Oryctolagus cuniculus: one gene and its partner. The protein of the gene in region 2 interacts with the protein of the main gene of each other region in a pairwise test. Links are inferred from orthologs where the notes say so. Each region holds a gene or a part of one and is shown on either strand. Other genes may lie near its edges.

Region 1 (4,114 bases), on a different chromosome or scaffold from region 2:
CCAGTGTACCCGCTGTGTAAATTGCTACATTCTCTTCTTGGTCATGAACATGTATCACTTTAATAACATTTTCTTTTATTATTTTGCGAGGTATACAGATAACTGTGCTCATTATAAAAAAATAAAAACTCCAATACACAGAAATGCGTGAAGGAGAGGCAGAGGTCCCCACCCTGTCCCGCACCCAGAGGTAACCACTAGTAACCGACTGCAACAGCACTCAGGACAAACAACCCGCAATACCCGAGAAGCGCCCGCCCCCCCCCCCTCCCCCCGCGCCCGGCCTCCCACTCACCCGCTCGGCAAACGCTCCCCCAGTAAGTGCGCCAGGGCTCTGTCTTACTGGGGGCTGGCTCTGCAATCGCACAGCCTGGGTTCAGACCCCAGCTCTGCTGCTTCTCTAACCTCTCCAGGGCTCCGGTCTCCGCACCTGCAGAGCATGGAGACTCACAGCACCGGGCATGTGGGACGGGCGTGGGAAGGGCCACGTGCTCTGGCTCGCGCATGCGCACACGCAGCTCTCAGGGTGGCGCCTGGGCAAATCCACCGCTCCAGTGCCCAACCCTGTCCTCAGCTAGGGAGCACACCAGTAGGGCGTCACCGAGCACCTACTCTGTGCTGAGCAGCTGGGGCGGACCCCCAACGCCTGCTGGGGGCTCACGGCGGCCCAGGGTGCAGCCACACACATGTGTGGGCTCAGGCTCACCCCGAGCAAGGGCCAAACTAGCACCTTGGAGAACAAGACAGGGAGGCTCAGAGGGGTTACGAGCCCAGTACCGGAGCACACAGCTAAGAAGGCCCAGCCAGGATGCAAACCCGGAGCAGTGGGGCCCATGACCTCATCACGCAGCCGTAACACAGCCCTAGCTGCCCAGGGCTCCGTGGAGCTGGGCCAAGGGCTGTGAGGGAGCAGCATAAGCGAAAGGGCAGCGGGGGCTGCTGGCGCCGGAGGCCAGGCATGCAGGGCCAGAGACAGGGGCTGCTGTTATTCCCACGAGCTGGCCTCGTCCCCACTGCTAGGCCATGGTGTCCTGGCCGGCCGGCCCACGCCTCAGCCTTCCGGCCAGGGCTGGGCACACTCACTCCCAGTGTTTGCCACCATAGCTCCTCTCATTAGAGACTGCATGAGAGCTGCACCTGCCAGAGGCCAGGGGAGCGGGGGGGGGGGGGGGGCAGAGGTGGGGCCGGGGGTGCAGGGGACAGAACGCACAGACCTGGGGGCCAGGCCAGCTGCCCTCCTCAATCTGGATCATTTATTTTATCTGTAGAATGGGTAGGCTGAGCCCCCTGGGGGTGGCTGTGAGGGCGCAGTGGGCCAGCCCTGGAGAGGGCTTGGGGAGCCCCACTTGTGTCGGCATGCACGTGGGCTGCCACTTGTTGGACACCCACTGCGTGGACATGGCCTCCTTCCCAGGCAGGAGTCAATACTAAAGATCCCACTCAACCGATGGAACCCACAGGGGCCAGACACCCGCGTGGGGCAGGCACTGGGGAAGTGGCCGAGCCAGGATCTGGACCCAGGGCCCTCCGAGCCCCACGCTCTCCCACTGTGGGACAGCCTCCTGCTGGGGAGGCCTTCTGTGTCTTGCCAGGGGCTGCAGTCCTGGAGCCTCCCTCTGTCCTCTGGGCTCAGCTCAGAGCCCCCGGGGAGGCTTCAGGGCCTGATGATGCCATTAGAGACCCCCAGGGGTCCCTGTGCACCTGAGGGCCTGGGAGCCACAGACCCCTTGCTCAGAGAAGGGGCTGGTATTAAAGCCCCAGCTGAGCCCTGGCTGGGGCAGGGGCCCCAGGAGACCGCAAGGCGCCAGCTCAGGAGATGGCGAAACAATGGAGTTTGTCCAGGCTGCTTTCTCCCAAAAGCCAGCAGCATGGAGGGGAGGTGCATTCCTCTCTGCCCCACCCACCCACCCTTCACAGCCCTGAAAATCACCTGGCCTAACACCAGATGGGAGGGGAGCTGAGGCCAGAGTCCCGGGTACTCGCTCAGCACAGTCCCCCTGCCCATGTCCCTGGCTACCCCTAGGCAGACTCCAGCAGCCAGGCCCAGGAGTCCCCTGGTTGAGGCTGGGCCAGCTGCACCTGCCCTGAGACACATCTGGCTGGGCTGGGGTGCCCAGCTCCACACCGGGTCCTGACTATGCCGGCCTGGCAGTCGGGCCCATCTGGCCAGGCAGGGCTGGGGGAGGGATCCACACTCCCGCCTTCCAGCACCAAGGCTGTCGGTTACCCGGTGAAACAGACCCCAGTGCCACCCTTGGCCGCTCCCCTCTCCACTCAGACCAGCACAGGCAAAAGCCCAGTTGGCCTGCCTGCTCTCGACCTCGACCCAGACCCCAGGCCCAGACTGCGGCCCCGCAGTAGGGAAGAGGGCGTCCTCGGAGCCCCCTCCTCCAATTCCAGCTCATCACCTTGCACCCGAGGACGCGCAATGGCGGCGGAAGCTGCACGGCACAGGCTACCCGTCCAGACCGAGGCTGGCTTCCTAGGGCCTCGGTGCAGGGAAGCGACCCAGCCCCACGCCGCCCCGAGCTGCTGCGGGGCGGGGAGCGCGGGCCTCGGCGCCTCGGTGCCGGTGGAAGGGCGGGGCGCGCGGCGGCTGGGGATGCTCACCTGAAATTAGGAGGCGACGCGATGTGCAGCCCCAGAAACGGGGAGGCGGCCGGCGGGGACGCGGCACCCCCGCCCAGGCCGCCGCTTTCTCGCTCCGCCATTCTCGGGCACAGCCCTGGCCATCCGGGCGGAGCGCGGCGCGGGGGAGACGGCGGCGGCGGCGGCGGAGCAGCGGGCGGGGGCGCGGGAGAGGCCGCCGCCGCCGCGGGGCTCGGGCGGGGAGGGCGCGGCGGGCGCACCTGCGCAGGGCAGGGCGCGGTTCCCGACGGCGCGCGGCTGGCGGCACTGGCGAGAGCGCCCCCGCGCGCACCCCCGGGCCGGGCCGGGGTCTCGTGCGCCCCGCCCCCGCGCCGCCGGCCCCGCCCCAGAGGCGGCGCTCTCCATGGTGCTGAAGGCACGGCCCCCGCGGCTCGGGCTTGGCCCCGCCCCGTCCTAATCCGAACCTGCCCGCCCCCAACCTCGCAGGGCGCCCCCATCCCCATTGCTGGCGATGCCCTCCGGCATCAGGTAACCAATGGCCCCTTGGCCCCCAAGACCCTCTTGGGCCACCCCGGGCAGAGACAGAGGAGGCAGGCGGGAAAGGAGGGTCCCTGGGCTGTGAGTGGAGTCCCGGAGAGGCAACTTTTAGGCGCTGTCAGCTCACTGCCTGGCTCCACAAATGAGAGGGTGGGGGACCTTGGTCAGTGACGTCAGGGCCCCAAAATGTGCTTCTCTCACCTGTGAAATGGTGACAATACTATGCCCCCATGGCAGTTGTCAGGATGACAGGAGACGCCAATGCTGCAGGAGCTGACCCAAGCCTCCCTTCAGCCAATGGAGAGTCCACCAGCGAGGACAGAGCAGGCGCCTCCCCGCTGTGGTCAGACCTTTCACAGCACCTCTGCTGCACCACTGGCAGCCAGGCACCCAGACTTGGGCCTTCCCCCGCCCCACCACTGACTCCCACCCCTGCTGGGTTTGGGCCATGGCTTCCTCCTGTCTTCTCACCCCTTTGAGGTAAGCCTGGGCCTTCAGCGTCCCTGAGTTTTTTATTTTTATTTATTTATTTATTTTTGACAGGCAGAGTGGACAGTGAGACAGAGAGAAAGGTCTTCCTTTTGCCGTTGGTTCACCCTCCAATGGCTGCCGCGGCCGGCATGCTGCAGCCGGCGCACCGCGCTGATCCGAAGGCAGGAGCCAGGTGCCTCTCCTGGTCTCCCATGGGGTACAGGGCCCAAGGACTTGGGCCATCCTCCACTGCACTCCCTGGCCACAGCAGAGAGCTGGACAAGAAGAGGAGCAACTGGGACAGAATCCGGCACCCCGACCAGGACTAGAACCCGGTGTGCCGGCGCTGCAGGTGGAGGATTAGCCTAGTGAGCCGCAGCGCTGGCCCCCACCTGAGTTTATTCAGAGCATGGACTGCCAAGCCCAGGGTCCCCTTCTGGGTGGTCTGTAGCCTCTGGCCAGTCCGCAGTGGCTGCTTCTGTGGCCGCCTGAGAACCCCAGACACTGTCCCGCACAG
Region 2 (3,500 bases):
CGTCTCCCTACACAGCCCAGCACACCCAGGCTTGACCAGGGAAGCAAGCCTGTGCAAGTTGCTGAGATCCTAAGGGGCCAGCGTGGAACCCCAGCTTGTGTCTGCAGCCGGAGCTGTGAGTGTTGGGCTCCAGACTTTGGCCTGACTCTGGGCATCCCTGGAGGAATGGGGGAGGGGATGACAAGGGAGGAGGGGGGTTGGGCAACAGCGACTCCAAATAAGGAGACTTTTATGTAGCTGACAGCGGGCTCAGCGCAGCTGGACTGCCACTTTTGTGGGACAGTGCGGCAGGTGGGATTCGGATGTGGGGCAGGGGAGGGCTGTGAGAGTCTGTGGCGGCCCCCCCGGCCCCCGGGCACTCACTCTCCACGATGGTGGTCCTCCCCGAGCCATCGTCATTGATCTGCTGGATGTTCCCAAAGTGGATGTCACTGAAGAAGATGCGATTGGGGGTGCCCGGGGAGGTGCCCGCCCGGTAGTCGAAGGCCAGGGCGATGACATTCTTCATGTGCTCGGGGTCCTCGAAGGGTTGCACAGGTGCATTGAGGTTGCGCTCGTCCGACAGGTGGATGCTCTTGAGGATAGTGCGCTCCGAGTAGAGCAGGTAGCCGGCGTACTCCCGGCAGGACGCGCCGTCTTCCGCCAGCATCCCGTGGGCGCAGGCGCAGGCTCGCTGGCCCCCACCCCGGTACAGGCAAAGCTGCTGGCACCCGCCATTGGCCACGGCGCACACGTTGGTGCCTGGGGGGAGGGGGAGGTCACAGGGGGCAGGGTCTGCCTGGGGGAGGGGCTCTCTGGTGCTCCTGTCACCTGGACCCTGACCTTGGCGCCTGCTCTGCCTCAGCATCCCCAGCTCAGTCAACCCTCCAGGCCCTCATCCCTCAACTCCCAGATCAGCCCTTGTCGCCAGCCTCTCCCCTCCCCCCATTCCTGGTCTCTCAGGCCTTTGGAGGGCACCCCTCCAGGCTCCACCTTCTCTCCCAGCCCCTGTCGCTCTGGCCCTGGCCCAGAGCGCCAGCCTCACACCTTTCTGCCGGTCGCGGTTGAAGACCTTGATGTCTTTGAGCTGGACGCCGATGCCGGTTCGCAGGGGCACGGAGTCGGTGGCGTTGTCCTTGCTCCCGCGCTTGATGGAGCCGTTGGCGTGAGTCCTGGGGGCAGGGAGAGGCGTGAGCGGGGCGCGCGCAGGGCAGGGACGGGGTGAGGACGGCACACGGAAGAGCAGCCCTCACCGGTCACTCCAATAGATGAAGTCCTCAAACACAGACACGGAAAACATGTCCATGTTGTTGCTGGACAGGACCACCTCGCGGCTGTCGCCCGTCTCCAGGTCGATGCGCTCGATCTTGTCGGTGCGGGCGTCGCACCAGTACAGCTTCCCATCCTGCGGGCACAGATGCCACCTCACTCCGGGACCCCCACCCCCTGCTCTCCCCACTCACCCCTGCCCGTCCCCCGGGTCCCTCTGCTCTGCACGTCGCCTCTGGGGTAGAGGAGTCCTGCTCTGGGTGGGAGCTGGGCCCCTGCCCTCTGCTCTCTCACTGGCCGGGGCTCTCCCCACCGGCTCCATGGTCACGCCCAAACCTGATAGTCCACGGAGATGCCGTTGGGCCAGCTGATGCTGACGTTAACCAGCACCACCCGCTCGGTGCCATCCAGTCGCGAGCGCTCGATGCGCGGATACTGGCCCCACTCAGTCCAGAACAGGTACCTGTGTGTGGAGACGAAGGGGACGGGCGTGAGAACCCAGATCACAAAAGTGCCAGGGCTGGCCCCGAGCCAGCCCGTCCAGCTGCTCACCCCTTCTCCGGGTGCACAGTGATGGCCCGGGGCTTGTCCAGACCCTGGGAGATGACCACGTAGCGGAAAGAGCCATTGAGCCGGGCCACCTCGATGACGTCAAAGCCCTGGTCTGTCCAGTAGATGTTGCCTGCGGAGGGAGTGGGGTGCAGGGAGGTTGGTGGGGGGCACGCACACAGCCCCAGGGACCCCTGCAGCTGTCCATCTGTCCCTGCCGACTTCCTCTCCCATCCCCTCTGAGGCGCCCCAGCACCCACCTGCGATCCAGTCCACTGCGATGCCCTCCACACGGCCAATGCCGTTGGTCACCACGTCCTCTCGCCAGGTCTGGTCGCGCTTGGCCCGGCTGATGGTGCTCAGGCCCATGTCCACCCAGTAAATGGTGTCGTTCTCTGCAAGTGGAGGTGCCCACGTGAGGATACCCGGTGTGGCGGGGGCAAGACCAGGGGCCAGAATCATGCAGCAGGTGTCAGGTGCTGGGGGCCAGTGCAGGTCCCCAAGCTCCTGGGTCACGTCCCGCCATCCCCCGTCACCCAATGTCTCACCAGCATGGAAGTCGATGCCAACAGCCAGCGAGGTCCCTGACACAGGGACCAGGGCGTCTGACTTGTCATTGGGATCCAAGGGGATTCCCCGAATTCCCTCATGCACGGAGTACAGGAGAAAGGAGCCCACGCCTGAAAGGCAATGACCCCTCAGGCACGGGCCTCGCGACGCTCCTTGAAGCCTGGCTCTTGCTACCTTCACACCGCTCTTCTCTGCTTCCTCTTTGGTATCTTCCCCCCAGCCATCGCCCCTGACCCAAAGGTGTCTGAGACCCAGAGCCTGGCGCTGCTGAAGAAAGTCCTCCTGGCTAGAGGGCGAGTGCCTGCAGGACCTCTCACGGACATGAGGGGGCAGCAGAGACGCGGCTTTCTCTCCCCTCACTTGGCCCTTACAACACAAGGCGGGCGGCTCCCCACAGAGGCCCTGGGGGAGGCTCAGACAATCAGGATGGGACGTCTCCAATCTAGATTTTCAGCTTGGCACTCCGCCTGACCTTAGCTTCCTCTTTGTCCTCCCTCTGACTGGTCCAGGCCACACCCTCTCTCCAACACCCAGAAACCTTCCCAGCACCTTGCTTGCTGCCAGCCCTCCATTCCCCGCGTAGCCCTAGCCCTCCCTTGCCTTTATCCTCTCATGCAGGTTGGCCCCAAATGAACGCCCAAAGGGGCCCCAGTGAGGGAAAAACCCGAATGCTACAGGCCGTGCTTGCATATTTACTCCTAACGTTGCTTACTAGAAGTGCTTATTTCTAATAGTCTAATGTTCCTGATATTTGAATGCTGGAGTCCGTGCCTGAAGAATTCTTGGTGTGCACGGACACATTCAAGGCTCTGAGAAGTTCTGCGAAGTTCCGCAGCCTCAACGTTGCCTCCCTGCCGTGCCCACATCAAAGGCGGAGGTTCCCAGGGGCCCATAAATCAGTCAACAGGGGCTCGTGAAACGCCTCTGACTCTCAGCCCAGACCCTGCTGCTCACCCTGGGATTACCCCAAAGCCTCCTAACTGGTCTAACTGCCTTGGTTTCTCCTGCTCCCCTGCTGCCGCCAGCTTAATCTTCCCCAAACACCACTTCCAGGCACCACCAGCTGAGAACCCGCAGGAGCCCCGCCCTCCCGACCTCACCGCCTTATCACCAGGACTTTCCCACACCCAGCC

What was found. The genes of interacting proteins can lie anywhere in the genome.
Region 1: the proteins of LRP1 (region 2) and MAPK8IP1 interact in a two-hybrid assay, tested with the Homo sapiens proteins (2 studies listed by BioGRID). The link is inferred for Oryctolagus cuniculus from reciprocal best matches to the Homo sapiens genes LRP1 and MAPK8IP1.

What each region holds. Positions count from the first base shown.
Region 1 is NC_091432.1:20,079,097-20,083,210, forward strand, and holds the start of MAPK8IP1 (C-Jun-amino-terminal kinase-interacting protein 1), read right to left. Parts: upstream 2,801-4,114; 5' UTR 2,712-2,800; coding exon 2,611-2,711; intron 1,075-2,610; exon of another isoform or gene 296-1,074; intron 1-295. UniProt on the Homo sapiens protein: The JNK-interacting protein (JIP) group of scaffold proteins selectively mediates JNK signaling by aggregating specific components of the MAPK cascade to form a functional JNK signaling module. Required for JNK activation in response to excitotoxic stress.
Region 2 is NC_091442.1:59,825,494-59,828,993, reverse strand, and holds part of LRP1 (prolow-density lipoprotein receptor-related protein 1), read right to left. Parts: intron 2,478-3,500; coding exon 2,346-2,477; intron 2,193-2,345; coding exon 2,058-2,192; intron 1,931-2,057; coding exon 1,801-1,930; intron 1,712-1,800; coding exon 1,585-1,711; intron 1,385-1,584; coding exon 1,233-1,384; intron 1,152-1,232; coding exon 1,027-1,151; intron 742-1,026; coding exon 364-741; intron 1-363. UniProt on the Homo sapiens protein: Endocytic receptor involved in endocytosis and in phagocytosis of apoptotic cells. Required for early embryonic development. Involved in cellular lipid homeostasis.